2 linked regions of the Macaca fascicularis genome follow. The protein of the gene in region 1 binds, or shares a complex with, the protein of each later gene. Links are inferred from orthologs where the notes say so. Each region holds a gene or a part of one and is shown on either strand. Other genes may lie near its edges.

Region 1 (15,282 bases):
GTGTCCACCCTGAGCCCCATAGGGTGACGATCTGCACCAGGGTGCGGGTGCCCTCAGTGACGGGGCTCATCTTCCTGCTGGAGAAAGTGGGCACAAGGCCCACCAGTGTTTTATCCAGAGGCTGTGAAGATGCAGTTCTTGTATATTCTGCCCTTTGTGATCCAATATAAGAACTTTGATCCTCTGGGCTCTTCCTTTGCCCAGCTCACTCTCACCCAAAAACAAAGCAGAGAAAGCTGCTGGTGCCCCCTCCAGCTCCTCCGTCTCCTGGCTGTAGAAGGTCTGGTTTCTCTCAGTTTTCCTGCTCTTCCAGTTTAGATTTACCAACTCAAATGAAAAATCTCAGGAATGTTGTCCTTGCTTTGGAAGTTCTGATTTCATGTAAATGTCCCTGTCTCACTGTCCTTTTTCACTTCTTCAGGTGCCATCCTCAGGGTTAGGCCAGGTCCCTCCTCTGCAGGGGTGGTGTGGGGTCTTTTCCTACCACCTGCCCTCTTCTGTGAAGCTGACATCTCATTCTTTCCTTGCAGGGCCAAAGAGGCAGATCAGCTGAAGCAGGACCTGCAGGAAGCACGCGAGGCAGAGCGAAGAGCCAAGCAGAAGCTCCTGGAGATTGCCACCAAGCCCACGTACCCGGTGAGCCTGGGGGGCCACCAGCTGGGGCCGCCTTAGTCCTGGTGGGTGATGTTCTCTTTCCTCCCGGCCCTTCAGTTCATCTGGCGGTGCCTTCAGGGTGACCATTCAAGCAAACACATGGCAGGATGAGAGATGCAGAGAGCCTGCAGTTAGGGACCGGGTAGAACATCCTGGTCTGCCATTTGGCTTTGGACTAGTTAGTTGTCTCTTTGGTTGCCTGGATAACAGGCAACAGGGCCTTTTCCAGCTCTGGAATGTTTTTCTTGTTCTACGTAATATAGTCCCAAATTATCCTCAAGCGAATTTGCTCTCTTGCCTCTTAATGCTGAGCTGAATGTAATCTTCAACTATCAGTATGTACCATATATCATAATTATAGTTCTGGGAAGGGATTGGCTGTACACCTCAGAGTGAATTACTGCCATGCAAGAACGAGCAGCCACTCTCAGTTTGGGGACACAGAGGCAGACTTCCATTAAATGGGGTCACAAAATGAATAGAAACCTCTTTCCCTCCTTTCTTCTGTGCATTCAGTTTGGCATTTTATTTTTTATTTTTATTTTTTGCGTATTTGTTCAGTGTCCACATAGTGCCACACAGTTGGAAGTCTCTGTCCTGACAGGTGTTCTCAGGGTGCACAGGTGCCTAGAGGAGGAGGACACAGCCCAGCCTGGAGGGGCAGGACAGGCTCAATATGGTGTCTACACTGATGCTTGAAGGGGGAGCAGGAAGTAGCCAGGTAGAGAAGAGAACATAGGGTATTTAGGGTGAGGGCACAGATGCACACACATGGCCCAGACTCACACACAGCACAGTCATCTACATGGCACATCCATACACACAGCACAGACACACACATGTACCCATACATATATTCATGCACATGGCACATCCACACACACAGCACGGACACACACACGTACCCATACTTACATTCAAGCACATGGTACAGGCACATACATGACCCAGATGCACACAGGGCACCAGAGCCACAAGCTGCCCAGGGTTTGAGGTGGGGAAAACGTAAGCAGTTTGCTGTTGCCATATATCCTGGTTCTCTGTTACTATGTAACAACCCACCCAAGCCAACTGTGTGGCCGAAACAACCCTTTATTATACCTCTGGTGGCTTGTTGGGTTGACTGGGCCAGACAGAGATCCTTGCTGGGGATCTCTCTGGTGGTCACAGTCAGATGGTAGCTGGGACTGGAGTCGTCTGAGCACTCAGCTGGGCTGAACACCTGAGATGTGTGTTTTGTTTTTATTTTTTATTTTGTTTATTATTATTATTATTATTTTTTGAGAGAGAGAGAGTTTTATTTACTCTGTCACCCAGGCTGGAATGCAGTGGCAAAATCTCGGCTCACTGCAACCTCCGCTTGGTAGGCTCAAGCGATCCTCCCGCCCCAGTCTCCTGAGTAGCTGGGACCACAGGCATGTGCCACCATGCCCAGCTAATTTTTTTTTTTTTTTTTGGTAGGGACAGGGTTTTGCCATATTGCCCCAGCTGGTCTCAAACTTCAGAGCTTAAGTGATCTGCCTGCCTCAGCTTCCCAAACTGCTGGGATTATAGGCATGAGCCACTGTGCCCAGCCTCTATGTGTTGTTTTTAAAATATACACTGGAGCAAAGCTTATACACTGCTGTAACTGCTCTCTCCTCTTAGCAGTCAATCCTGGAGGAGATCATCCATATCAGCTTTTTAATCATGTTTTGTTGTGCGGATGGATTGCAGTTCATTTAACCAGTCCCTCACGGATGAGTATTTAGTCTGTTTTCTTTTGCAATTTTGAACAAAATGGCACTGAACATCCCTGAACACAAATCTTGACACACACAAGTGAATATATTGGTAGAATAAATTCTAATAATAGAACCATGGGGTCAAATTTTCAATTTTGATACTCTTCAAAGAAGTTGTACCAGTTCATGCTCTCACTGATGGTGCAGCAACTAGTACTGGTTTTTGCTGGAAATTTTTATGAAGTATAACATACATGTAGAGAAGTGCCCAGATTACAACTGTACAGCTTGAAGAATTTTCACAAACTGAACATACCTATGTACCCAGCACCCAGATCAGAAAACAGGACATCCCTGGCACCCCAGGAGCTGTCTCTCAGCACCCCTGCAGACAGTCTGCCTCAGGCCTTGAGAATGTCTCAAATGAATGTTCCAAGCCTCTGCTCTTTCCCAGACAGTGTCCTAGACTCAGTACGGGATCCAAGGATGAAAAAGAGGCAGATTGTTTACAGGAAACTTGCAAATAGTAGAAAGAAGATACAGCCAAAAAGAAATCTTTTACAGGGTGGAATTGCAGAAGAACCATTAGAGAACTGTAAACACAGCATTAAGGGACAGTAAAGAAAAGGGTTGCCGGCTGGCTGGGAGGGGCTAGAAAGGCTTTGGTGAGAGATCATGGTGTTTGAGAAGGGCCTTGAAAGAGCGATGGAGCATAGGGAGGAGAAATGGGATAGGCAGGGGTACAGAGATGGGAAGGCAGTAGTCCAGGGGATAATAAACAATACTGACTGTGACTTAGTAGGGCAAATAGTAGGAGAAGCCAGGGAGCTAGATTGGGGCCCTCTTTAGATGACCCTTTGTTCTGGGATGAAAGTCAGAAACAAAAACCAAAAAAAACTACACCACCCCTGCTTCAAGACCTACTCCGGTTCCATTGTCCAATCCCAAGCCCCTGGGTGGGCAGGTGGAGCCCTTTGTGGTGGTGCCCATCTCCCACCCCACCTCTCCACACTGTATGGCAGACTCCTGGCACCCTCGCTGGGCAGTGCCCCACCCATTGCCATACCTCCCACCTGGCAAACCTTCTCGTGGCACTGTCTTGGATCCCAGCAAAAGCAGCATCTCTTCTAGCCTCTGTTCGCTCCCTGGCTACAGTGTTTACCTTTTTTAACAGTGATGATCTGTGAACACATCTATTTCCTGAACACAACTTTCAGCTGCTCAAAGCCAAGGATGCTGTCTTGTTTTCTGCATCTCCAGCCCCTCTCACAGGGCCCGGGAGTTTCCTAAATGAAAAAGCGAGTGGGAGTTTGTGTTTGATTCAGCTGAGCGTGAAGAACGGTTAGAGATTTGAGGGGTGAGGGATGACTTTCCTGGATTTGTAGTCTTTGGTATTGTTCACCTGGCAGTGGCAAATGTGGAGGGACTGAAGTGGAGGGGCTCATAGTGGCATTGGGAGATAGGACCTGAGTTGTGCCTATCGCCGCTGTGGCTGCTGGAGGATCAGTTGTCAACACAGTAGTGCCCCTCTGTTCTTGTATGACCCAAGCTCCTAATCCGAAATTTCTCATTAATAGCCCATGAACCCAATTCCAGCACCGTTGCCTCCTGACATACCAAGCTTCAACCTCATTGGTGACAGCCTGTCTTTCGACTTCAAGGATACTGACATGAAGCGACTTTCCATGGAGATAGAGAAAGAAAAGTATGTAGCCCCCTGTGCCCTGCTGTGGGCAGCCATGAACCAGAGTGAGTGATTGGGGCCTTGGGAAGCTGGGGCAGAGGTGAGGGGTTGCTGAAACAGCCTGTCATTAGCTCCTACAAAGGTTTGCTCTGCTCTTACCTGCTGGAGGAAGAATTTCCTTAATTGGAAATTAAGGGACAACAGATCAGCATTCATTCTGAATGAATAAAAATAACACTTGACTAGTGACCTGGAGTTTATGATGGCTCTAAACCTCACTTAAAGTGTAGGACTGGGTTGTTAGCATCTCTGAGTCAGTTCAACTGCTGTTATACTACTGGACTGTAGTCGCCTCCTAGTTGAGTTTTCCAGTGACTGGGATCTACGGTGGTTCCCTTGTCTAGAACAAAGAAAGATTAGAGAAGAGACTCAGGCTCAAGGCTAAGGAAAGCTGACAGCTGGTGGGGCCACTTTGCTGCAGTGGATGGCACTGGGCAGGGCCCCAGCATGGCCTGATCATGGCAGCTTTTGCTGAACTGCCCTCCATCTTCCCTTTATGGTGGGTAGAAGTGGATCAGAGATGGAAAGGAAAGGATCCCCACTGCAGAGGAAGTCTAAGCAAGGGCCCCTAGTTCCCAGAGCTAGTGGTAAGTTGGTTAACTGCCACTGCTTGCCGGAGGACAACCACAGCAGCTACCATGCATTGAGTGCCTGTGTGTCAGGGTTTTTGGCTTTTGTCTCATTTAATTCCTACTAACTGACAAACATCAAACTGACATCAAAGGTAGGTTTTCATGTTCCCATTTTATAAGGGAGAATTCAGATTTAGAGAGTTTAGTGAACTCCCCCAGCATCACACAGCTGATGCAGAGGAGCCCCTGGGTTGAAACCCCTCACCCATCTGACTCTGCAGCCCATGTGCTTTTACCAAGGGTAGTATCCTCAGGAAAAACCTTTGGGGAAAGTGTCTCCATGGAGTCCTGTATGGGCAACCACAATCCAGGCTGTTTTTCTTTGGGCTTTCACATTGAGGGTATAGCTAAGTAGCCAGTGAACCAGAGCCTCTAGCTGTCATATCTGCTGTCCATGTTCCTTTCACCATTATCCAGACATATATATTTATGTGGTTGGGATCGGGGATCAGGGTGAAGCTATTCTGCTATTTTATAGTTTGTATTTTGTTACTATCTTAGTTTGTTTTGGCTACTGTAACAAAATACCAGTGGCTAGGTAGCTTATAAACAACAGAAATTTATTTCTTGGCCAGGCACAGTGGCTCATGCCTATAATTCCAGCACTTTGGGAGTCCAAGGCAGGCAGATCGCTTGAGCCAGGAGTTCACACCAGCCTGGGCAACATGGCGAAGCCCCATTTCTACTAAAAATACAAAAATTAGCTGGGTGTGGTGGCGCATGCCTGTGGTCCCAGCTACTCGGGAGGCTGAGGCAGGAGGATTGCTTGAGCCTGGAAGGCAGAGGTTGCAGTGAGCCCAGATCATACCACTGCACTCCAGCCCAGGCAACAGAGAGACACCCTGTCTCAAAAAAAAAAAAGAAAAGGAAAGAAAGAAATTGATTTCTCACAGTTTGGGAGGCTGGAAAGGCCAAGATCAAGGCACGGGCAGAGGTGGAGTCTGGTGAGGGCATTCTTCCTGGTTCATAGTCAGCCCTTGTCGCTGTGTGCCCACCCAGTGGAAGGGATGAAGGGTCTCTCTGGAGTCTCTTTTATAAGGGCACTAATCCCATTCATGAGGCTCTACCCTCGTGACTTCCCAAAGGCCCCATCTCCTGACGCCTGTGGTTTTTTTTTTTTTTTTGAGACGGAGTCTCGCTCTGTTGCCCAAGCTGGAGTGCAGTGGTGCGATCTCAGCACACTGTAACCTCTGCCTCCTGGGTTCAAGCAATTCTCCTGCCTCAGCCTCCTGAGTAGCTGGGATTACCGGCCCATGCTACCACGCCCAGCTAACTTTTGTATTTTTAGTAGAGACAGGGTTTCACCATATTGGTCAGGCTGGTCTCAAACTTCTGACCTCATGGTCCGCCCACCTTGGCCTCCCAAAGTGCTGGGATTACAGGCATGAGCCACCACGCCCAGCTGGCAATTAGGTTTCCACATATGAATTTTGAAGACACGAACATTCAGACCATAGCACTTCTTACCCTTGCACATATTGGCAGTCTCTATACTAACCATGGCAATCCCTATGGAATGTTTTTGGTATTTGTATTGCACGGTTTTTCTGGCCATGCCTTGTAGTTGGACGCTTTGTGGGTGGTTTCCAGACTTTCACCATCATAGATGCTGTCACTCAGTGTGTCTGTTCTCAGGTGAGGGTAGGGATCTTTTCTTCCTTGCGTTGGGTGAGCTTCTGAGTGAGCTTCTGTCATCTTTAGATGAAGTCTCAGAACAAGTGGGACTGTGGATGTGGCCTATCAAAAGAGATCACGTGAAGCTGGGCGCTGTGGCTTGTGCCTGTAATCCCAGCACTTTGAGGCCAGGGGTTCAAAGCCAGCCTGGGGAGCATAGCAAGATCCTATCAAAAAAAATGAGTTTACTTGAATTACTGCTCCAAGAAGGGTTGAGACAAGGAGATTGTTCTGGGTTCCCAGGAAGCTTGTTTCATGTATTTTTTTTTTTTTTGGTGCAGAACGAAAAGCTGTCTGTGACAGCTAGTATTTGTAGAGCCCCCTATGAGAATTTACCAAGGACTTTTCTACTCTTTCTTTTTCTTTTTCTTCTTCTTTTTTTTTAATAGAGGCAGGATCTCTTTATGTTTCCCAAGCTGGTCTCCAACTCCTGGGCTCAAGCAATCCTCCTGCCTCAGCCACCCAAAGTACTGGGATTACAGGTGGAGCCACCATGCCTAGCCTCCACTTTTTAAAAATTTAATCCTGACCACGGCCCTGTGATCATTATCCCAATTTTAATGATGAGGAAACATTCATAGCACTTAAGTGACCAGCCTAAGCTCCACGGCCTGTGAGTGGCCAAGTAAAGATGTGAACCTCAGGCCTCAAACCCTAGATCCTGCACCAAGCAGCTTGTGGGCCACAGAGCACCTGAGCCGTATCTCACTGTCGCCCAAGCCCTGATGCATGATACCCTCTTGCCGGCAGAGTGGAATACATGGAAAAGAGCAAGCATCTGCAGGAGCAGCTCAATGAACTCAAGACAGAAATCGAGGCCTTGAAACTGAAAGAGAGGGAGACGGCTCTGGATATTCTGCACAATGAGAACTCCGACAGGGGTGGCAGCAGCAAGCACAATACCATTAAAAAGGTACCCAGGGTCTCTTTCTTGTATTTTGCTGATCAGGACCATCATTAATGAAATATGAGGTTGGCATCTGGTTTTCTCAGTAGCCAAGTCACTAGACTGTTAGCATCTTTTGTATGTACTTAGTTGAGGAAATTTTTAAACTTATGCCAGAAAGGGAATGTAATCTGCCAGTGACTAGGAACCCATTGGCTGGATGGCAGTTGAGCTTGTGTTAAAAGCTCTGACATAATGAACCCCTGTTACACAGGGGTTTTGATTCATCATTTAGCAGTAAAGCATAAAGCCCTTTTAAGCCAAGGGGTGTTATGCCCAGGGAGCTGCCTTACTTTATGAGAAAGCAGAATGAAATGGAGGCTATTGAGAATGCACTTTCCCTCTAGTCTTGTTGTGTCTTTAAGTGGCAAGGACTATAAAACCAAACTGAATTTTTAACTTTTTTCATACTTAAAAGGAAGTGTCTAGGAGAGAACCTCTTTGTTTTGAAAGAGAAGACTTTATTATGTTGCAAATGGTTTCATATCTTTCTCTATTGGTATTTTGAGCTTTCAGCATTGTTGAGTTTCAGAAGCTAAATTTCATACTAATTATCAGCCCAAGAGTATACCTTTTTCATTTGGGCCAAGCAGAAGGGTCCTCTCTTGCCAAATAATGCTCTGCTCTTAACTGATAGCCCAGGATCAGGTTAACACCTATAAAATAGGTGTTATTAAGATAAAACTGGGCTGGGCGTGGTGGCTCACGCCTGTAATCCCAGCACTTTGGGAGGCCGAGGCGGGTGGATCACGAGGTCAGGAGATCGAGACCATCCTGGCTAACACAGTGGAACTCCACTTCTACTAAAAATACAAAAAAATTAGCCAGGCGTGGTGGCGGGTGCCTGTAGTCCCAGCTACTCGGGAGGCTGAGGCAGGAGAATGGCGTGAACCTGGGAGGTGGAGCTGGCAGTGAGCCGAGATTGTGTGACTGCACTCCAGTCTGGGAGACACAGCGAGACTGTCTCAAAAACAAACAAACAAACAAAAAGATAAAACTGTCCATTGACTTTAGGTGATACTGATGCAGTTAATTTTTTACTCTTTACCTCAGTCTTTAAAATGGGCTTCCAGTTTTACGGACTGTCTCTGTTTTTAGTGGTTAAGCTGTATCTGAAAACTCCAGGGGATCTGTTTCTACCTGCCATCGTTACTGGATACAGCAGGCAGCCCTGACTTTTACCTCTCGACTCCAGTCAGAACTGGCACTGGGTAGAGAATTCCTTTTAATAGTGCAACCTAGAAGGAAAGGCATTTCCACATTCCACATTCTTCTTTTCTCTGGCTTCTGTAATTTACCAGGCTTCCCTTCCAAAACAAAATTATTAAATAGTAAAGAGAAGTTCAAGGGAGGCCTCAGCCATTAAGGAAAGAGGTAAAACAATGACTGAGCCAGTGAGCCAGTCAGCCCTTAAATGAACTGCCTTAGACACCCCATCTCACCCCTTACCCCCAGCCTTGTCATCTGGGTCCCCGGAACAGTCTCACCATTTCCACTGCGGCTGCAATGAGCAGGGGGGCCTTCAGCCACAGAAACCTGCAGTGTGAAAGCTGGAGAGACCCCGTTCCAAGCCATTAAAACAAACAAGATCACTCGTCACGATTTCAGGCCTATCCAAGCATTTTGCAGATAGCACTTATGGCATTGTTGATATCACAGGGTATGTTTTTGTTTTTCTTCATTTTATTTTGCTGGTTTAGCCTCAAGCCCAAGGCAGAAGACCTATCTGCATTTGAGCCCTCAAAGTAGGTTGTTCCCAGGTATTCTCTCTGTGGTGATGGCACTGCCCTCTGTGATACTAACCCGTGCATGAGCTTGCCTGTCTCTGTCCTCAGGCCACACTGAGCCCTTACGAGGGCAGGTGGTGCCTGGGTACTGGCCGCAGCATGCTTTGAGTCTAAAAGCAGGCACCCGCCCTGTGGAGCCAGACCAGCCTCCAGGGCCCCAGAAGACTGCCTCGTTCCGAAGAGCATGTCATGGGGCTGTAGGACCGGCCGTTCTTCCCATCTCGTGTCATTGTTGGGCTGGGGAAGGTTATGGCTTCTTGTCCAGTCAGGTGTGTCTATAAGTCCTTTGTCTTGGTGGCATACTCCTAGCATGGAAATGGGGTCAATCTGGGCACTTTTGAGACTGATGTCTGTAACTCGAGATCAAGACCTTTTACGCGGTGACAGCCTCTCAAGACCCGTGGTCACTCCTGGCAGCTTCTGGTCGTGGGGCGAAGGGGTTGCCTGTGCTGGCTCATTTTCCTTTAGAGCTTTCCCTTTCTGTACACAGCCCTTTTCCTTTCAAATAAAGCAAACCCAGAGCACAGGGGTCTGATTTGTGAGTCCACGGGGAGTGGACTGCCTGTTCGTCCGTGCTCAGCCGCCTCTGCTTCAGCTTCCACTCCACAGGCTGAGCAGAGATGTGGTCAGAGTGAACTCACATTGGAACAGTACAGTCATGGCACCCCGGAGAGGAGCGGTCACTGGTTGCTGAATGAATTAACTGAATGTTTGCTGCTTTTCTCCTGCAACAGTTCGTTATTATTCCAGCATGCCTAGGCAGTAGAGAGAATGTATTTTGCCCAACAATAAAATGACATCCTGCCTCTACTTCTCACCTAATCCCCAGTAGTACCCATGCCAACAAGCTCCACACCACCCGACAGCAGCGTAGGATGTGTCCATTGGAGTCTTCCCCGCAGTTTCTGCTCATAGAGTAGAATAAGCTAATTGGAACCTTCCTACCAAAAAGAGGTCTGGCATAAGATAGATCCTACTTGTGGTCGTTATCCCATCAAGAGAGGTCAGCTGTTAAAGTCCCTGATAGATCTTATTAAAAGGTACACTTGAGCCATCAGTGGTTCCAAGAATCCATGACATGAACCCTGTTTTGTATGTGACACTTTCATTTAGCGGGCTCCTGTTTCTTCAGCTTTCATACCCATGTTGGCATTGATACCCTGATACAGAACAGTCCGTGCTCTGAGCAGGGCAGTTATGGCCAGCGTTGTCATGGGCAGGCCAGCTCACAGCACCCAGAGCAGCCAGGTGGACCCACCTTGGTTTACTGAACTTTTTGTAACCACGAGGACAAGCAGAAAACCCCGCTGCATTTCACCCAGTGCTGCCAGGTGTTCCCTCCATGGGAAGGTGCTGCTCAGCCCGAATGTGATTTCTTCTTTCTTCCTTCTATAATGATGCAGAGTGCTGAAATTCTTCAGGGTCCTGATTCTGACTGTCATTTCACACTGAGCTTTTACTGCAGACAAAAGAAGTTTCATTTTTAGTTAAATTTGCACTGCTCCTAGGACATACATGGATGCATTTATTTATTCATTCATTTTAATGTCTTGATGTGAACTTGTTTTTAAAGCAGGCTGCCAGGCAGTTAATCAAACACTCGGGTTAATCAAGGGTTAATAAAAGCATGGACTTGATGTTTAATATGACAGGCGTTCTCTCAGCATCACTAGATTAAATAGTGCTGCACTACTAAATTTTGCTGCACATGAAGTTCAGTGCACGTTCCATTTTCTAGACTTTGGCAGTCCCTGTGGTCAGTGACCGGGACTGATGAGCAGCCACATGCCTGCACTAGGGTGGCTCTGGGGTGGTGCATGCTGCAGTCTGGCTGGCACAAGCCTAGCTGAAGAGAAGTGCTGCTTTAGGCTTGGATGTGGGAATACCTAGATGTCAAGGGCAGAACTCCATCTAGAATGCCTGGGGATGAGATGCAAAAGCTGGTAGTGAATGGAACAGTTTCCAGTGTCCAAAAGCTCACTAATCTGGGATCAAACCAGCCTGCATTGATATTAGTTTTATTTTGTTTTGAGACACGATCTCCCTCTGTCACCCAGGCTGGTACGTTCTTGGCTCACTGCAACCTCCACCTCCCAGGCTCAAGTGATCCTCCTGCCTCAGCCTCCCAAGTAGCTGAGACTACTAATTTTTGTATTTTTTGTAGAGATGGGGTTTCACCATGTTGCCCAGGCCGGTCTTGAACTCCTGAGCTCAACTGATCTGCCCAACTCTGCCTCCCAGAGTGCTGGGATTATAAAAGTGAGCCACCGTGCCTGGCCTCTTTTGTTTTTTTTTTTTGTTTTTTTTTTTGTTTTTTTTTTTTTTGAGACGGAGTCTCGCTCTGTCCCCAGGCTGGAGTGCAGTGGCCGGATCTCAGCTCACTGCAAGCTCTGCCTCCCGGGTTTACGCCATTCTCCTGCCTCAGCCTCCCGAGTAGCTGGGACTACAGGCGCCCGCCACGTCGCCCGGCTAGCTTTTTGTATTTTTTAGTAGAGACGGGGTTTCACCCTGTTAGCCAGGATGGTCTCGATCTCCTGACCTAGTGATCCGCCCGTCTCGTCCTCCCAAAGTGCTGGGATTACAGGCTTGAGCCACCGCGCCCGGCCCTCTTTTGTTTTTAATGAGGTTTTTTGTTTGTTTTGTTTTGTTGAGACAGGATCTCACTCTGTCACCCACATTGGTGACAGCCTCAACCTCCTGGGCTCAAGCGATCCTCTCACCTCAGCCTCCCAAGTAGCTGGGACTACAGGCATTTGCCACTACGCTTGACTGATTTTTTAATTTTTATTTTTGTAAAGATGGGTTTCGCCATGTTGTCCAGGCTGGTCTCGAACTCCTAAGCTCAAGTGGATCTTCCCGCCACAGCCTCCCAAAATGCTGGGATTACACACATGAGCCATCTCGCCCGGCCATTGTGTTTGTCCTCGGTTTCAGTACTCTTCTGCCTCACTGAGAGGTCTCAGAGTCTGCTGTGTGATTTCAGCAGTACCCATGGGGGCTGTGTAACATTGAAGCTAATTCAAGGAGTTTGCCCTTAGGTTATGAAGGGTTACCACATTTCCTCAGGAATGCTGAGCGGCTATCCAGTCGGATTAACCGAGGTTCCTACTTCTCTGCCACTTCCTTTTTCTATAATTCTTTTTTTTTTTTTTTTTTTTTTTTTGAGACGGAGTCTCGCTCTGTCGCCTAGGCTGGAGTGCAGTGGCACAATCTCGGCTCACTGCAAGCTCCGCCTCCCGGGTTCATGCCATTCTCCTGCCTCAGCCTCCCGAGTAGCTGGGACTACAGGCGCCCGCCCCTGCGCCCGGCTAATTTTTTCTATTTTTAGTAGAGACGGAGTTTCACAAGATCTCCTGACCTTGTGATCTGCCTGCCTCGGCCTCCCAAAGTGCTGGGATTACAGGTGTGAGCCACCGCGCCCGGCCTTCTATAATTCTTATGCTCGCTCGCGCGCTCTCTCTCTCTTTTTTTTTTTTTTTTTTTTTTTTTTTTGAGACGGAGTCTCGCTCTGTCGCCCAGCCCAGGCTGGAGTGCAGTGGCGCGATCTCGGCTCACTGCAAGCTCCGCCTCCCGGGTTCACGCCATTCTCCTGCCTCAGCCTCCCGAGTAGCTGGGACTACAGGCGCCCACAACCGCGCCCGGCTAATTTTTTTTGTATTTTTTAGTAGAGACGAGGTTTCACTGTGGTCTCGATCTCCTGACCTTGTGATCCGCCCGCCTCGGCCTCCCAAAGTGCTGGGATTACAGGCGTGAGCCACCGCGCCCGGCCCCTCTCTCTTTTTTTTTAATTCTACTTTAAGTTCTAGGGTACATGTGCACAACGTGCAGGCTTGTTACATATGTATACATGCAGCCATAAAAAAGGATGAATTCTTACTCTCTCAAGGCACAGTGTCCTCACCTTCAAAAGGTGAATAAAAATAGTCTTTGCCCCCAGGACTGTTGTGAGGGATAAATGAGAGAATGTGCATGAAACACTCAGTGCACAGTCAGAGCTCAGTAAGGGGTTAAAACTCTGAAAAGGGAAAATCTGCTTGTGATCCTGCAGCAAAGGGCGAAGGACAGCATGTGGGCCACACCGCCAAATCTAGGTACACAGCTTGTGCTGGGCATCTTCATTCATTGTATTAATTGCTACGTGGCTGGAAGTAAAAACTTTTAAAAAGCCATAATTGGCCAGGCACAGTGGCTTACACCTATAATCCCAGCACTTTGGGAGGCCGAGGCAGGTGAATCACCTGAGGTTGGGAGTTCGAGACCATCCTGACCAACATGGAGAAACCCCATCTCTACCCAAAATACAAAATTTGCCGGGTGTGGTGGCGCATGCCTGTAAACCCAGCTACTTGGGAGGCGGAGGCAGGAGAATCGCTTGAACCTGGGAGGTGGAGGTTGCGGTGAGCCAAGATCATGCCATTGCACTCCAGCCTGGGCAACAAGAGCAAGACTCTGTCTCAAAAATAAATAAATAAATAAATAGCCATAATTAACTTCACTGGTTCCTTGTAATATTTGACTTGGGTTTGCAAGGATATATTTTTCTCCTCTTGCTAATCTTAACTTCCTATATTTCCATTTTTCCCAATTGATGATCAGTACAACTAGTTTGGCATTTGCATCTGAGTCAGAGCAGTGCTAGCGATCAGAAGCCACCCTAGGGAACCTGGAGTTGTTTCATTCTCAGTGGGAGCGACACGTGTCCTGGCATCTGAGCCTTCCAAGTGAGGGGGATGAGTCTGGCAGTCAGGCTGGGGTTGGGGGACACAGGGTGCCTTGAGCCTGACTTTTGTGCCTTCAGAGCCACAGTGCTGATGATGGGAGTGGTGGCTTGGTGTGGCATAACTGTACCACCACACCTTGAAGGTAAAATGCAGTCTTGGAATATATACATTCAGGGTCTTTCTTTCATCCTTTCTCAAAAGAGGGGTTTCAGTCTCCCAATCCTGAGCTGGTCTGAGTGTCAGCAAACAAAGTCATCACTTTTGTGCCTGTGGTCTCCCAGGGAGCACAGGATTTCCAAGGAAATTGATGGATGAGAAATCATGGGGGTGGTGGAGCTTAGAAAGCTTATTTCATTAGTAAATGGTTTGAACCGTCAAGGTCCAGCTGTGGTTTCCACTGATGGAGGAACAGGAAGAAGAGGAGCCTTGACATTTATCTCAAGCGCCAGCAGCTTCTCTTGGATCAGGAAGACATAAAAGTCCAATGTCATCTTCAATTTGTGCGGGCTCCCCTTGGAGTTGCAGAGCCGGTGAAGTGAAGTAGAACAGTTAAAAAAACACCCGGGGAAGTGATAAATCACAGAGAGAGATTGCATATGCGGGAAAGGCGTCTCCCACAATTAAAACAAGTGGCTAGAGCCTCCCTGGCGACCTCTGGTCTGCACTGCCAGCCCTGAAGATGGCTGCTAAATTACTTAAGTTTAATAGGTAGTTAATATAGCCAACCCTCCTTATGACCCCATTGGGCCGAATGGCTCTGCTTGCTCTAGGAACTGGGTGTTGTATGGGTAGAGCATCCTTGGCCTTGACATAAAAGGTAGCATACTGGCTCGCCAGCCCCGAACCTTTCCTTTCTTGTTGCTGGAGCAAGGCAGGGGTGAGAGGGGGAAGGAAAGAAAAAGGAGTGGGGAGTGGGGTGGGTAGCAAGCATTAACAGGGAGCAGTAGCAGCACCAGATGTGGGCGTAGCACACTGCGAAGAAATTGCAGAGGCCATCCGAATTCTTCCTCTCCACTTCCTGGCTCTGTGGAAGCCCAGGGAAGGCTTTAGGAACTGTGGGCTGTTCTTAGTGCTCCTCCCGGCTGGGACACCTTGAGCTCATCCCTGAAGGCCACTCCTACCACTCTCACACACTGAGTTCCTGGTTTCTCGTAACTGTTGAGAGCTTAGTTTTCTTGCTTGTTTCTCTAGATAGAAGAACTATCAGCCTCTTTTCCAAAAGTCTACAAGCCAATCCTCTTTTTGGTTAAGAGACTTTACCTGGTCAAGCAGTTATTCTTTGGGAGGTGTTGAAGAGCCTACAAACCTGCTTTGCCTGCCTAGGTATTTTACGACCATTTGGAAGTGCCTGAGGATATTACCAGGCCTTATTTGATGCAGTAAAACATCCCGTTTGGCCC
Region 2 (16,550 bases), on another chromosome or scaffold:
CAATAACAGAACCAAATAACTTGATTTATAAAGAGTAATGGACTTGAAGAGATATTTCCAAAGATATACAAATGACCAATAAGGACATGAAAATGAATTCAATATAATTAATCACTAGGGAGATCCAACTCAAAACCACAATGAGATACCACCTTACATCCCCTAGAGTGGCTACTACTTAAAAAAAACAAAAACAGGAAAATACTTACTGAGGATGTAGGGAAACTGGAACACTCAGCCACTGCTGGTGGGAATGTAAAATGGTGCAGCCACTATGGCAAACGGTTTGGGAGTTCCTCAAAAAGTTAAACACGGAATGACCATATAATCCAGCAATCCCACTTTCTGGTTTATATCCAAAAGAACCAGAAGCAGGGACTCATACAGTGGAATATTATTCCACCTTAAAAAGGAAGCTGCAACATGGATGAACCCTGAGGACATTACACTAAGTGAAATAAACTAGACACAAAAAGACAAATACTGCATGATTCCACTTGCAAGAAGTCCCGAGGCCAGGCATGTGGCTCGCACCTGTAATCCCAACACTTTGGGAGGCTGAGGTGGGTGGATAACTTGAGGTCTGGAGTTTGAAACCAGCCTGACCAACATGATGAAACCCATCTCTACCAAAAATACAAAACTTAGCTGGTGTTGTGGCAGGCACCTGTAATCCCAGCTGCTTGAGAGGCTGAGGCGTGAGAACCCGGAAGGCAGACGTTGCAATGAGCCAAGATCGTGCCACTGCACTGCAGCCTGGGATACAGAGCAAAACTCTGTTTCAAAAAAAAAAAATAAATCGGCCGGGCGTGGTGGCTCAAGCCTGTAATCCCAGCACTCTGGGAGGCCGAGGCGGGCGGATCACGAGGTCAGGAGATCGAGACCATCCTGGCTAACACGGTGAAACCCCGTCTCTACTAAAAAAAAAATACAAAAAACTAGCCGGGCGAGGTGGCGGGCGCCTGTAGTCCCAGCTATTCGGGAGGCTGAGGCAGGAGAATGGTGTAAACCCGGGAGGCGGAGCTTGCAGTGAGCTGAGATCCGGCCACTGCACTCCAGCCCGGGCGACAGAGCGAGACTCCGTCTCAAAAAAAAAAAAAATCAGTCAGTCCTGAGCAGAGCCAAACTCACAGAGAAGCAGAAGACAGGCGAGCAGGCGCTGGAAGGGAGAGTGGGGAGTTTCTGTTTAATGGGTTTTTGGATGATTAAAACATTTGAAAATAGAGGGTGGTGATGGTTGCACAATATTGTGAAGGTACTTAATGTCACTGAATTATACACTAAAAAATAATTAAAATGGTAAATTTTATGTTATGTATATTTTACCAGAATAAAAAAATCTGAATTATCATGTGGACAATTTAGTGAGTAGCTCAGCAATTCAGTCAGGGCGTGGATAATGACAGATTCCAATTTTACTGTTCCTAGAGTGAAACTAGGCCTTACTTTAGGGTTTTTCTACTTTTCTTTTCTTTTTTTTTTGAGACAGAGTCTCGCTCTGTCGCCTGGGTTGGAGTGCAGTGGCGTGATCTTGGCTCACTGCAACCTCTGCCCCCAGGGTTCAAGTGATTCTCCTGCCTCAGCCTCCCAAGTAGCTGGGATTACAGGTGCCCGCCACCATGCCAGGCTAATTTTTTGTATTTTCAGTAGAGACGGGGTTTCACTATGTTGGCCAGGATGGTCTCGATCTCCTGACCTCATGATCTGCCTGCCTCTGCCTCCCAAAGTGCTGGGATTACAGGCGTGAGCCACCGTGCCTGGCCTTACTAGATGGTTTTTTCTAATTAAGGTTATTAATTTAGGCTCCTTGGTGATCATGGCCACTAGGACATGTGAAAACTCCTAGGACTGTGTGTCAGTTGGTATATCCACTGAAGACTGCAGATTCTCAATTCTAATTCTCAATTCAATCCTTAGTAACTCAATTCAGAAAGCAAATGGCTGTCATTTTAACACTAATAATTTAGTATCAAGTGAATGACAGATTTAACTACTTTGAATATTACGAATATGCACAACTAGCCTGACCACACAGCTGACAGTTTGCAAACAATGATATCATATCCAAATAAAGAAACGGATTTCTTTAGATGTACAGTTGACCCTTGAACAACAGTTTGAGGGTCACTCACACTAGCATTTTCTTCCACCTCTGCCACCCCTGAGACAGCAAGGCCAATGCCTCCCCTTCCTCAGCCCATTCCACATGAAGATGACAAAGATGGAGACCTTTATGATGATCCACTTTCAATTATTAAAATAGTAAACCTATTTTCTCTTCTTTACGATTTTTTTTCTTTAGAAAGAGTCTCACTCTGTCACCCAGGATGGACTACAGTGGTGTGATCTCGGCTCACTGCAACCTCCGCCTCCCAGGTTCAAGCGATTCTCCTGCCTCAGCCTCCGGAGTAGCTGGGATGACAGGTGCACACCACCATGCTGGACTAATTTTTATTATTTTTAGTAGAGGTCAGTTTTGCCATGTTGCCCAGGCTGGTCTTGAACTCCTGACCTCAGGTAATCTGCCCACCTTGGTCTTCCAAAGTGGTGGGATTATAGGCATGAGCCACTGTGCCCAGCCTATGTTCCTCCCAAAGTAGTGGGATTACAGGCACGAGCCACTGTGCCCGGCCAGCATTTTCTTTTCTCTAGCTTGCTGTATTGTAAGAATACAGGATCTAATACATATAACATACAAAATGTGTGTTCATTGACTCTATGTTACTGGTAAGGCTTCCAGTCAACAAACTATTAGTAAAGTTTTTGGGGAGTCGAAGGTTCTATGCTGATTTTTGACTGTGCAGGGGGCTGGCACCCCAACCCTCCACTGCTGAGGGGTCAACCATAGTTCCTGGAGTTCCGTGTGTTCTCTGCAGGGCAGGCGTGGGGCAGGGAGACGGTGGGTCTGCAGCACACCTTTGCTGACCCTCACTGTTCTTGCCTGGAAATATAAGGTGGCAGATGGCCAAGGATTTAACAGAATTTCAGATATTAAAATGGGCCCAATTCCACGGCTTTGCTTAACAAAATAGAAAATTTAAAAATAGATAATAATTTAAAAAGTAATGAGATTACTTTTAAAAATCCCATCATATACAACTGCCATTCCTACCCTACTCAGAATAAGAGGGCGAATGCTGACCAAAGGTTCACGGGTACATGAGAAAATCAGATGTCTGCAGCAAGCAGATGCGTGGTTCCTCTCATATTACCTTCAGCTGGGTTTCTGTGGGAGTTGGTGCCAAAAAGGGCGGCTGTCCCACCAGCATCTCGAAGAGAATCACTCCAACACTCCACCAGTCACAGAGCTGAGTGTACCCTGCAAGACAAAGTTCACTCAGTCCCTACGCAGGCACGAATTCTCCTCCGAGGCGAGTTTCGGCAGATGGACCTTTGTAAGTACCTGGATGCTAATGGGTGGGGGTGGCAGCCGTGGCCGCTTAGGTTTTCGTAATTTTAATCATTGTAATAAGAAAATACTTTTTAATTTAAAAAGATTATTTTTAGTGTTAGCAACTAGTTACTAGCCAGAATTTTATGTTCTTAAAGATCACAGACAGAGGCACCAATTAAAATAACGGAAACTGAAAACCATAAAGTACTATAACCCGTGAACAGTCAGGGGAGGGTCTGGGCAGCTTGCTGGGAGGCTTCTACATCAGTTTTGGATGAAGCTGAAGCCTATGGAGATGAGGAGGGCGTGGGCAAAACCCACCAGACAATTCACGGTAAGCCGAACGCTCCTTGTGTGAGGCCCCCACGGAGCTGGGCCTTCCTCACGGGCTCCCCGTGCTGGGTCAGGGCTGGCCTCTGGGAGGCTGTAGGCTGGGCTCCTTTACCTTTCATTTTCTCCCACTTTTCCTTCAGGGCCTCATGGCCCATCAAGCCAGGCTCGTCTTGATGTCACCTAATCCTTGCTAAGTATAAACTGGGATGTTAAGAGGTCAGCCCGGGGGTGCCTGCAGCTGCATATGCCAGGGTAGCCCCCTCAGGCCCCTCTGTTATCTCCCTGTCCCACCTCTTTCTGCCCAAGTTTGGCACCAGACGCTGCAGAAAAACCCCAAGCAATGGCTCCTTGGGAATACTGCACGCGGCAGAGGGAAGCAGACCTTCACTGGGCACCAAGGTTATTCACAACCTCTCAAGGTCATTATTGCTATGTCTGTGGTCCGAGCAGTTAAGTAACTTGCGCTGGATTACCACAGCTAGCAAAGAAAACCCAGACTTGAACTGGGTCTGGCTGGCTCCAAAGACTTTAAACAACGTGTGGCGGCAGGAGCTGCCTGTCTCTGGATTAATTACACAGAATCAGATGAACACCCACCGTCACTGTGGACCATGCAGGATCACTGAAGGAATCCTCGTCTACTGAGCCAGATGTATCTGACAGAATGGAGCATCCACCCAGGAGACAAATTTTATGAGCACTGGTCATTTGACACAACTGGCACCTGCCACTTTTGCTATGGTCTAGCAGGGAGAATGAGAGAGAAAGGACCTTCCAATGCTGTCACATAAGCACCAGCTGCGCACAGCACAACTCAGCCAGGAGCCTGGGACAGAAGTGAAAGCTAGAGCCCGGAAATGTGTGGTCTAGGCACACTGAGCAGAGGTCCCGTGGCCCTCAGAGTGGTTTCCATCATTTGACTGTGAAAATGAGGCCTGGAGTCATTTCCTTGGGTCTAGGTAGAGACTGAGGGCCAGCAGACACTGTCTAATGGTGCATGTCTTCCAACCCCCTGAAGCAAGAGCATTTCCAAGGCAGAAGGGAGGCCTGTTATGTTGCGGAAATAAGTAGTTTTCAGGCTTCCATGAGGACAAAAATATGACTGGAAGCATCAGGTCCTTGGAAAGCTAGAGCCAAGGAGACTCAGCTCACAGGTCTGAAGAGACGGAGACCTCCCGTGGGGTGGCTGGCTGTGGCGCACGTACCTTTGCGAAGGAGAACCTCGGGCGCGATGTAGTTTGGAGTCCCCACCAGTGAATGTGCCAGGCACCTCTGGTGCTGCTTCCGCGCCCTCTGCTCCAGGGTCTTCAGCCTGTCCCCACACCGACAGTTAGACACGTCGTCCCAGAGGTCGCTGGGCTCCATGCTGTCCTGCCTGACATGGCTCCCTTCACCCAGGAATCGGGGGTGGTGAAAGAAGAGAACAAAACACAAAGTGAATTTTCACTCTTCAACAACTCAACGGATCCACAGCTTAAAACAGCAAAGTCATTCCAATCAGCTCCTGCCATATCAGGATAGAGAATCCCCGCTGAGCTGCTCCATACGGGCAGCCTGCTGTCCCTAGTTCGGAGACACGTGGTGAGGTTGGCGCTAGCACCAAGGTGGAAACGACGGTGAGGAATCATGGGAAACCACGCACCGTGCTGAGCTGGCAGGAAGGCACTGCAGGCAGGAGAGGCTGGAAGAACGGTGGGGACAGCTTGTAGCCTATTGTCTTAAAAATATAGTAGGCCAGGTGCGGTGGCTCACTGCACCTGTAATCCCAGCACTTTGGGAGGCTGAGGCAGGTGGATCACCTGAGGTCGGGAGTTTGAGACCAGCCTGACAAAAATGGAGAAACCCCGTCTCTACTGAAAATACAAAATTATCCAGAGGTGGTTTTGTATTACAGTGCGTGACTGTAATCCCAGCTACTCAGGAGGCTGGAGACAGGAGAACCACTTGAACCCGGGGGGTAGAGGTTGTGGTGAGCCGAGATCATGCCATTGCGCTCCAGCCTGGGCAACAAGAGCAGAACTCTGTCTCAAAAAAAAAAAAAAAAGTAAACCTGAAATCCACTAACTTTAAAAAAAAAAATTCATATATCATTCTATTCCTTTTGGAAGGGAAGGCTGTCACACCGATTTATAAAAGAATGGAGTGACGGATAATTTCGAAATGATTAGGAGCCACTAGGATGGGATACTGAGCTGCTTGCCACGGGGTGAGTGATGTCTACACAGAGAAAATGCATGCGGCACACTCAAGACAATACCTTTCTGGTAATATTTGGAATTGTGAGTCCACCTGAACCCAGTGCAGAGGCCGAAATCTGTGAGTTTAATGTGACCATCCAGATCTATCAAAATGTTATCAGGCTTGATGTCTCGGTGGATGAAGCCCATCTTGTGGACGCTCTCAATGGCCAAAGTCAGCTCTGCGATGTAGAACCGGGCCAGGTACTCGGGAAAGACCTCCATCCGAATCAGCAGGCTCATCATGTCCCCACCAGGGATGTAGTCCATCACAAAGTACAGGCTGTCTTTGTCTTGGAAGGAGTAGTAGAGTTTGACCACCCACTCATTGTCTGCCTCGGCCAGGATGTCCCTCTCGGCCTTGACGTGGGCCACCTGATTCCGGTTCAGGACATCCTTTTTCCTTAGGGTCTTCATGGCGTACAAGGCATGAGTGTCCACCTTACAAGCAAGGCACACTTCTCCAAAGGCACCGATCCCCAGGGTTTTGATTTTGACAAACATAGACTTGTCCATCTTGGCCCTCTTAAGCCTGTTGTAATTAGACTCTTTCTGGTAGAGGATCTTCCGCATCTGTTCCTGCTCAGCTTCACAGAGTCCAGCCTGTGCAGACGGAAAGGAAGGAGGAAGAATCACATTAGAGAAGTCCCATGATAACATATGACTGGGATGGGGAAGCCCTGGAACCTAACTCGTTTTACAGAAAGGAGAACAGAGAAGAACGGGTCTCATATACTACAAAGCAAGGTGACAACTGGTTTTGTTTTGTTTTTGAGACAGTCTTGCTCTGTCACTAGGCTGGAGTGCAGTGGCACAATCTCAGCTCACTGCAGCCTCGGCCTCCCGAGTAGCTGGGACTACACGCGCCCACCATCACGCCTGGCTAATTTTTGTATTTTTAGTAGAGACAGGGTTTCATCATGCTGGCCAGGCTGGTCTTGAACTCCTGACCTCAGGTGATCTGTCCACCTCGGCCTCCCACAGTGCAGGGATTACAAGTGTGAGCCACCGTGCCTGGCCAGTTTTGTTTTTTTATATCAATATATAGACATGAATTTGGAATGAAAAATTAAGACAGGCCAGGTGTGGTGGCTCAAGTCTGTAATCCCAGCACTTTGGGAGGCCGAGACGGGCGGATCATGAGGTCAGGAGATCGAGATCACCTTGGCTAACACGGTGAAAACCCGTCCCTACTAAAAAATACAAAAAACTAGCCGGGTGAGGTGGCGGGCGCCTGTAGTCCCAGCTACTCGGGAGGCTGAGGCAGGAGAATGGCGTAGACCCGGGAGGCGGAGGTTGCAGTGAGCTGAGATCGGGCCACTGCACTCCAGCCTGGGCGACAGAGCGAGACTGTCTTTAAAAAAAAAAAAAAAAAAAAAGTTAAGACAAAAAAGAGTGTTCTTTCTCAAGGAGACTTTTGCTCTAAAAACTAAGGGAAACTTCTATTAACAAAAATCTGTGGGAAAGGGGACCACAGCAGTCCTAGAACTCCAAGAGCCATCTAATCTTTCAGCAACTTAGGGAAAATGGAAAAGCAGGAAGAAAAGTCAATGATCAGCATACAAAAATCAGTAGCACACATTAGACAGACTTGTATATGGTGAGAGACAGGGTCTAGTTTCATTCTTCTGCACGTGGATATCTGGATTTCTGTACACCAGTAACGAATACCATTTACAACAGCTATAAAAAAAATCTAGAAGCAAATTTAACCAAAAGTGAAAGAGCTCTACAAAGAAAACTACGAAACCCTGATGAAAGAAACTGAGGACACAGACAAATGAAAAAAGATCCCATGTTCACCGACAGAAAGATTTAATATTGTTAAAATGACTATACTACCCAAAGCAATCTACCAATTAAATGCAATCCCTATCAAAATACCAATGACATTTTTCACATTAATAAAAAAACAACACTAAAATTCATAGGGAGCCCAAATAGTCAAAACGATCCTGGGCAAAAAGAACAAAGTTGTTACCCGACTTCAAAATATATTACAAGCCTAGAGTAACTGAAACTGCATGGTACTGGTATACAAACAGACACATAGACCAACGGAACAGAATAGAGAACCCAGAAGTAAGTCCATGTATTTACAGCCACCTGATTTTTGACAAAGGTGCCAAGAATGTACACGGAAGAAAAGACATGCTGGGAAAACCAGACATCCATATGCAGAAAAATGAAACTAGACCCCAATCTCTCACCATATAGGAAAGTCAACTTAAAACAGATGGAAGACCTAGAAACAAGACCAGAGGCTACGAAAATATACGCCAGGACACTGGTTTGAGCAAAGATTTTTATGGATAAAATCTCAAAAGCACAGGCAAAAAACCTCAAAATAGACAAATGGGACTATATTAAGCTAAAAAGCTTCTGCATAGCAAAGGAAACAACAGAGTAAAGAGGATACCTGTGTTGAACAGGAGAAAATATTCACAAACTATTCATCTGACAAAAGACTATTATTCAGAATATACAAGGAACTCAAACAACTCAACAGCCAAAAAAAAAAAAAAATCAAATAATCCTATTAAAAAGTGAGTCAAAAGGCCGGGCGCGGTGGCTCATGCTTGTAATCCCAGCACTTTGGGAGGCTGAGGCGGGCGGATTACTTGAGGTCAGGAGTTTGAAACCAGCCTGATGAACACGGTGAAACCCCGTTTCTACTGAACATACAAAAATTAGCTGAGCATGGGGTCGCACCCCTGTAGTCCCAGCTCTCAGGAGGTTGAGGCAGGAGAACAGCTTGAACCCAGAAGGCAGAGGTTGCAGTGAGCCGAGATTTCATCACTGCACTCCAGCCTGGGTGACAGAGCGAGACTCCGTCTAAGTAAATAAATAAATAAAAAGGTCGGGCGATGTGGCTCACGCCTGTAATCCCAGCACTTTGGGAGGCCAAGGCGGGTGGATCATCTGAGGTCGGGAGTTCGAGACCAGCCTGACCTACATGGTGAAACCCTGTCTCCACTAAGAATACAAAATTAGCTGGACATGGTGGCTAATGCTAGTAATCCCAGCTGCTTGGGAGGCTGAGGCAGGAGAATCACTGGAACCTGGGAGGCAGAGGTTTCGAGATCGCGCCATTGCACTCCAGCCTGGGCAACAAAAGTGAAACTCTGTCTCAAAAAAAATAAATAAATAAACTAATTAGAAAAAAAAAAAAAAGTGAGCTAATGACCTGAATAGACACTTGTTAAAGGAAGACACACAAATGGCTAAGAGGTGCATGGAAGGGTTCTCCATTAACCATCAGGGAAATGCAAATCAAAACCACAATGAAATATAATCTCTTCCCAGTTAGAACAACTATTAACAAAAAGAAAAAAAAAGAAACTAAAAACAGAACTACCATACAATGTACCAATTCCACTACTGGGTATTTATCTAAAGTAAAGGAAATCAGTATATCAAAGGGATACCTGCACCCCATGTTTACTGCAGCACTCTGCACAATAGCAAAATATGGAATCAACTTAAGTGTCCATCAACTGATGAATGGATAAAGAAAATGTGGTCTGTGTACACCATGGGATACTATTCAGCCATAAAAAAAGAATGAAATCCTGTCATCTGGAGCAACATGAATGGAACTGGAGGTCATCATGTTAAGTGAAATAAACCAGGAACAGAAAGTTCAGTACACACGTTGTTACTGATATGTGGGAGCTAAAAGAATTAATCTCATAGAGGCAGAGAGTAGAATGATAGTTAGCAGAGGTGGGAAAGGGTGTGTGTGTGTTGAGGGGAGATGAGAGGTTAATTGATGGAAACATATAGCTGGACAGAAGGAACAAACTCTAGGGTGACTACAGTTAGTAAAAATGTATTCTGTATTTCAAAATAGCTAGAAGACAGGACTTGAAATGTTTCCAACACAGAAATGATAAGTACACCAGGCATACCTTGACTTGATCATTACATATCCTATGCATGTAACAAAATATCACATGTACCCCACAAATACACAAATACTACGTATAAATAAAAAATGAACGGCTGGGTGTGGTGGCTCATGCCTGTAATCCCAGCACTTTGGGAGGCTGAGGTGGGCAGATCACCTGAGGTCAAGAGTTTGAGACCAGCCTAACCAACATGGTGAAACCCCATCTCTACTAAAAACACAAAAAAATAGCTGGATGTGGTGGTGGGCACCTGCAATCCCAACTACTTGGGAGGCTGAGGCAGGAGAATCGCTTGAACCCAGGAGGAGGAGGTTGCAGTGAGCCAAGATTGCACCACTGCACTCCAGCCTGGGCGATAGAGCAAGGCTCAGTCTCAAAAATAAATAAAAATAAATAAATAAGCACATATAAATGAAAGGTAAATATTTAAAAAGTCAATGAATATGGGACACTGGAAAGAACACAAATCTGGTTTCTACGCTTTGGAATTACTGGCTTTGTGTGATTTAAATCTGTTACATTTTAATTTAAATAATTTCACCAATAATTACCTTCTTCAGCACTTTAGTGTCAACTAAGGTATACTTAAATCATTAGTTACTAATTAAACACTTAAAAAGAATAAATGGAATCACTACTATATTTTTCTTCCAAAATCTCACAATATCAATTTACAAAACCTTAAACTTTGTTTCTACTCATTCAAAATGTTCTATTATTAATCCGTGATGAATTTTGTTAAGTGAGTACATACCCTAAAACTCAATTTGCTAATTTACCTACAATGTAAATTGTAGATTACCTACATTACGCTGGCTACATTATGCACAGCTACCTCTGATTCTTCAGAAGAGTCAAGGGGAAAGGAGAAAGGGAGGTCACACCATTTGCAACCTCTCCAAGTTGTTGGCCCCAGAACCAGACTGCCGCCCGTTAGCCGTGTTGATGACAAGGGGTGTGCGGCCGCAACAGAAAAGGGATCGTGCGCGCTTCCTATTACCAGTGTAGGGAAGAGCCGGGAACAAACAGGAAAAACGAAGTGGGAAATTACTTTGGCCATTTCTTGCTCCAGCTGCAGCCTCCGGTTAACCTTCTGCTGGTAGGTTTTGATGACGTTCTCCACGTGCTGCTCCATGAAGAACTTAAAGGCGTATGGCGAGTAGCTCTTGATGCGTGACTCTCTCTTCTCCTCGTCTCTGCTGTTTTTGCGGACGGGGACGGGAGAAGTCTGGATCTGCTTTTTATCCTTCCCGCCTTTGTCCCCCTTGGCGCTTTTGCGGCTCTTCTCACCGCCCTCGGGCTCGCTGGGGCCCGCACGGAGGCTCTGCTCCACGCCCGCGCACAGGCTGTCCAGGTCGTACTGCTCGGACTTGCTGCGCAGCAGCAGGTGCTTCGGGTAGGGCGGAGGCGGGCACCTCCGGTCTGGGCCTCCGTACTCCACGTCCAGCGGGTAGGCGCCTGCGCCGCCCAGTGCCAGGGCGTGCTCCTCCTTGGCGTCCAGGCCCTCCGTGGCCGGGGCGGGGGCTGGGGCAGGCGCGGGCACCCAGGCGGGGTGCGAGGGCCCCACAGCCGTCTGCGGCTCCGGCCTCAGCACTCGCACGCTCTTCACCGGGTGCAGGATGTGCGCGGCCGTGACAGCCGTCACGGTGTTGGGGGCGGGCAGGGAGGGCTCGGCCTTGCCGGGTGCGCCCGGCCGCGGCTGGTGGCTGTTGAAGGAGTTGGTCCTGCTGGGCACCGGGCAGTCAGGCCGGAAGGCCACGTGCGCGCGCGGCGGCGCCTCCAGGCCCGGCTTCTGCAGGGAGTCCCGGCGGGCCAGGGTGGCAGCCGGCCACTGCTGGACGGAGGTGCTGCCCAGGTCATACAGGTCCACGTTGAGGCTGTTCCGCGAGGGAGTGAGCAGGCTCTGCGGGGGGCTGTCGCCGGCGAACACCTGGCTGCGGGAGCCCAGCACATGCAGCTGGTGGGCCGTGGGGCCGGCCTGCTTGTGGTGTGGGTGCGGCACGTAGAGCCCGGCGGTGGGGGGCGGGAAAGCGAGGCCGGCGCCTGGTGGGCCCCCCTGGCCCTTGGTGGGCAGGCTGGCGTAGCCCCCGGTCTCCGGCGGCGTCTTGCCCTGGAAGGAGGGGCTGCGCTGCACCCCGTAGCCCAGGGGCTCCCCGTGCACCAGCAGGTGCGGCCGGCCGTAGTGCGTGCCCTGCAGCGGGAAGTGTGCGCCTGCTGCCTCCACGCCGGCGCCGTAGCCCTTGGGTGGGTGCTGGTGTTGGTGCTGGTGGCCGGGCCCGTGGGGGCCGACTCCGGGGAAGAGGTAGTCCACGTACGGCCGCGGCACCTCCTCCAGCGCAGCGGGGCCGTCGGCGCCGAAGCTCGGGCCCTCGTAGGGGGCACCGCTCAGCTGGTGGTAGGACGCGAACGAATCGCTGGTTCCTTCGAAGCTGGGCCTCCGCGTCACAGGGGCTGGCATGAGCCCCTTTCCTGCCGTGGAAAACACAGGAAGACAGCATCAGAGTGGGTGTGAGCAGTGGGTTCCGGCACTTCCAGGCTGGTCCCCACTCGAGCGCTGCCCCTGGGGCTGAGGGTCTTGAACCCTGGGCCCTGAGGTGCTGCATTCTGCCCAGCACAGGGTCAGCGGACTCCCCTCTGCCCTGCCAGCAGGACCAGTCGCCCTAATGTGTTAAGAGAGTGGAGACAAGCTGGAGGCCAAAGGGCACATGGGAGGGCCAAGGGCAGAAGAGAAGACCGCGTCCGCATGCTGAGTTGCATCCTTGGCCCCTGGGGACAGCACTGGGGTCACTCTCCTGTCAGGCTAGGGAGCCATCTGCATAGCCAGCTTTGTTTTCTTTTTTTTTTTTTTTTTTTTTTTTGAGACGGATTCTCGCTGTGTCACCCAGGCTGGAGTGCAGTGGCCGGATCTCAGCTCACTGCAAGCTCCGCCTCCCGGGTTTACGCCATTCTCCTGCCTCAGCCTCCCGAGTAGCTGGGACTACAGGCGCCCGCCACCACGCCCGGCTAGTTTTTTTTTGTATTTTTAGTAGAGACGGGGTTTCACCATGTTAGCCAGGATGGTCTCGATCTCCTGACCTCGTGATCCACCCGCCTCGGCCTCCCAAAGTGCTGGGATTACAGGGTTGAGCCACCGCACCCGGCCGCCAGCTTTGTTTTCAAAACCCTATCATGCCAAATTGTGGGAAGCTGGGTTTACCCCGCACGGTTCCCCAGGCGCGGCTCCCTCACAGAAAGGGCGGACCTGTTTCCACTGTGCAGCAGCTGCTCCACTTTCTTTCACCTCTTTTCCAAATTAAAAGATTTTCTAGTTTTTTTGGTCTGTATCAAAACAAAGCAACATATGCACAACAAAAACCACACAAAACTCCTCTACAAATATCCAGACTGATTTCATCTGCTGCTACCTTAATCCTGACCTCCATTTTGAACATCTCATCTGGAACAGACACCGGAAGGAAGGACAAAGGCTCCTTTCATTTCTTTAGACCAACTGCTCCACTTGGCTGGACTTAGCAGAGGGTGCCGAAGGGTGTGCCTTGCCCACAGGAAGACCACCTCTGATACGTGGCAGTGAAGGCCCTGACAGCCTGGCACTGAGCAAGTCACAGGCAAACCAAGGCTTCACTTTCCCTGGGCTCAGAACACATCAATGAACAGACCCGCCAAAGGCAAGTGCAGAGGGAAATCAGCATGGAACATGGGCCAGGCCTCCCTTTGAGCTGTGCTCTAAGACCTCAAAACTGGAAGAGCCCTGACATGGAAGGCCAGCTGGGGACTATTTAAGGAAGTTCCTTCTCTTAAGAAGAAGATAAAAATGTGTGTCCTCTTAACAAGGGAGATACAAGTTACAAAGGTGAGATTTTCTCACCCACGACATGAAGTAGGTTTTATCCAAGGTCTTCTACAAAATCGGGAAAACTCTTGATAATTACTATGATTGTTTTTTTTTAATTTTTTTTTTTTTTTAAATAGAGACGAGGTCTCCCTCTGTTGCCCAGGCTGGTCTCCAACTCCTGCCTCCTGCCTCTGGCCTCAGCCTCTCAAAGAGTTGGGATTACACAAAACAAAACAAAACAAAAAACAAAACCAGACCAGACAGTGTTGGGATTACAGGCTTGAGCCACTGCACCTGGCCATGAATCCTTTATCACACCCCAGGGGCCTCAGGTACCATCACGGGGCCCATGTGCTCCATCTTGGGAAATTAACATTCCCCCATAGCCAGTAAAAAGCAGGGGTTTGGTGCGGTGCCTCAGGCCTTCACAGGGGATGCTGAGGGGGGCCCAGCGCTCTGCCCACACTGCCTGCCACTGAGCAGCCACTCTCGGAGGCTACAGTGTGAGAAAGCTGTGTTTTAGAATTGAGGAAAGAAGCCATCCTTGTCAAAGATCCCTCCACAGGCCCAAGAGAAAGTGAAAAGACTATTTTTATGCCCACTTTGCTGACTTTTTTGATCTTTCATAAAACAAGCACACACCTTTCCCTAGGTAGGAAGTACCAAGGTAATCTCAGACAAGGCTGGACGGGGCAAGCGCCAGGCATGTCCCATGGTTTACTACTTGGGGCTGCTCCCACCAGGGCAGGCTCTGGCCAGGCCAGGCTGGACCCCTCTGCACATGGTTTTGTGTCCTTAAGCCACAAACCATCTTTGTCCACCACGCTGCGGGCCTGGGCTCACCTGGGGAGGTCTGCTTAATGACCCGCACGATCTGCTCATTCCTCGGGTCCAGGTAGCCCATCTTGCTGATGTACTCCAGGGCAGCCTCGATGCTCCTGCTGCCCGTCTGCTTGAGAGCTCGGCCAGCCATCTCCTGGGAGGGAAGTAAGGGAGAGGTAAGTGCACGTCATCCTAAAACAAAGCCCCCAGGGACTCCCGTCCCCACTGTGCTGGGACACTTTGCCTCTGTAGCTGCTGAGAACCTGCAACGCGCTGCAGGAAACCCTCAGAATGAGTGTGGGTGGCTGTGTGCCCTGCAGGTGCCTGATGACAAAAGCCTAGCACAAGCCACACCATGGACTACTTAGCCTTACGTCAAGGACATGGGGATTTTGATGGGCCTGAAAGAGACTTAAATTCTGCTTCTCCTCAGAAAACTTTTGTGGTTGGACTGGTGAGGTCAGGATGAACCTAAAACTAGAAACGTTTAAGGGGAAGAACTGTGGGATTCAGGGAACCTGGCTTTAACCTCGGCTCACATCCAAGCTAACTCTGGGACTAGGAAACCTGTCCCCAGGGAGAGGGTGCAGCTGCGCAGGAGTCATATATTACATGCCTACTGTTTACAATGCCCTGTGGTGGCTAGAGCAGCAGAAGACTGGCCCTCAGAGGTATGGCTTGTAGAAGAAAAGACAGACACACTGGCCCAGGACAAGTCCCTCAAACTGCTTGTGGGAAGAACACAGAGACTGGTGGCCACCACAGGAGAGGGCAGGTAAAATGGGAGAGGGCCAGAGGAGAAAGCCTCCTTCCACTCAGAAGATGAGGTGGTGGCATGGCTAGCTGTTCCAGACTTTGGGCAGGTGGAGAGCCCTGGGAGAGAAAAGGCATTCCTGGCAGATGGGACAGCCAGAGCAGAAGCCTGGGGAAAGATGGGCCCATGGCAGCAGCACGCAAGGGTAGGTGGAGACGGGGGGATGGACCCACAGATGGGGGCCAGGCTCTCAGGGTTTTGCTCCTGTCTGCAGGCAGCCGAGGAAGCTTTCAAACTGGGACATGTGGCATCAGCAGGTCAGGCTGGGGGCGGCTGTGGGTGCAGAGCTGGAGGCACTCAGGTTGGGGGAGACAGAATAGGCAGGAGGGTGCAGAAGAGATGCAGCCCAGTGGGGCAGGGCAGTGAGGCTCTGATGACAGCGCCCCCTTCACCTTCAAGGACAGCTCCGCAGAGCTGTAGGCAAACAGGGAGGGTAAGCAGAGAGAAAAGAACACCATTGAGACTGGCTCTGGGACAAGGGTGAAACAGGCAAAGGCCACAAAAAGGGCTTTGGCAGGAGAAGGGAGGGCTGAGCCCTTTGAAGGTCGACGGGGAGGGTGGCCAGGCAGGAGGAAACTGAAAATGCAGAACCGGGAGCTCCGGAAAGGAGTCCATAGCTACCTAGACAGCAGAGAAGAAAGGGGTGGAGATGGCTGGGTGTGGTGGCTCACACCTGTAATTCCAGCACTTTGGGAGACCAAGGCGGGTGGATCAGGAGGTCAAGAGATGGAGACCATCCTGGCCAACATGGTGAAATTCCATCCCTACTAAAAATACAAAAATTAGCTGGGTGTGATGGTTTGCGCCTGTAGTTCCAGCTACTCGGGAGGCTGAGGCAGGAGAATCGCTTGAAACCTGGGAGGTGGAGGTTGCAGTGAGCTGAGATCACACCACTGCACTCCAGCCTGGCAACAGAGTGTGACTCCATCTACAAAAAAAAGAAAGGGGTGGAGATGCAGAAAGACCCCGGGACAGTGGGGGAGGCCGCGCAGGGCTGTTCTGCAGCAGGAAGCCTGGCCGTGGTCACAGAGCCGCTCTGCAGAGAGAGACGCAGCACTGAGTGTCCCCCACCTCTGGACAGGGCATTGTGGTGCCCATGACCTGAATCACACTCAGCTGTGTGTCTGTGGTTCCCTTAGGACAAGAAGAACCTGGCAGGACCTGAAACCATGTTACTCATGGCTGCATCTGCCCACTTAATACA

What was found.
Region 2: the proteins of NF2 (region 1) and LATS2 are in contact, whole or in part, in a crystal structure (PDB 4ZRI), measured with the Homo sapiens proteins. The link is inferred for Macaca fascicularis from reciprocal best matches to the Homo sapiens genes NF2 and LATS2. Residues at the interface, in NP_000259.1 of Homo sapiens: Pro135, Glu136, Ala137, Val139, Leu140, Tyr144, Asn175, Leu176, Tyr177, Gln178, Met179, Trp184, Arg187, Trp191, Glu206, Lys209, Ile210; in NP_055387.2 of Homo sapiens: Tyr73, Ala76, Leu77, Glu79, Ile80, Arg81, Ser83, Leu84, Leu85, Phe87, Ala88, Asn89.

What each region holds. Positions count from the first base shown.
Region 1 is NC_088384.1:21,985,840-22,001,121, reverse strand, and holds the end of NF2 (merlin), read left to right. Parts: intron 1-530; coding exon 531-636; intron 637-3,955; coding exon 3,956-4,083; intron 4,084-7,178; coding exon 7,179-7,341; intron 7,342-9,074; coding exon of another isoform or gene 9,075-9,076; coding exon 9,077-9,187; 3' UTR 9,188-9,291; downstream 9,292-15,282. UniProt on the Homo sapiens protein: Probable regulator of the Hippo/SWH (Sav/Wts/Hpo) signaling pathway, a signaling pathway that plays a pivotal role in tumor suppression by restricting proliferation and promoting apoptosis.
Region 2 is NC_088391.1:929,950-946,499, reverse strand, and holds part of LATS2 (serine/threonine-protein kinase LATS2), read right to left. Parts: intron 14,687-16,550; coding exon 14,554-14,686; intron 12,345-14,553; coding exon 10,927-12,344; intron 6,568-10,926; coding exon 5,985-6,567; intron 5,116-5,984; coding exon 4,933-5,115; intron 3,320-4,932; coding exon 3,213-3,319; intron 1-3,212. UniProt on the Homo sapiens protein: Negative regulator of YAP1 in the Hippo signaling pathway that plays a pivotal role in organ size control and tumor suppression by restricting proliferation and promoting apoptosis.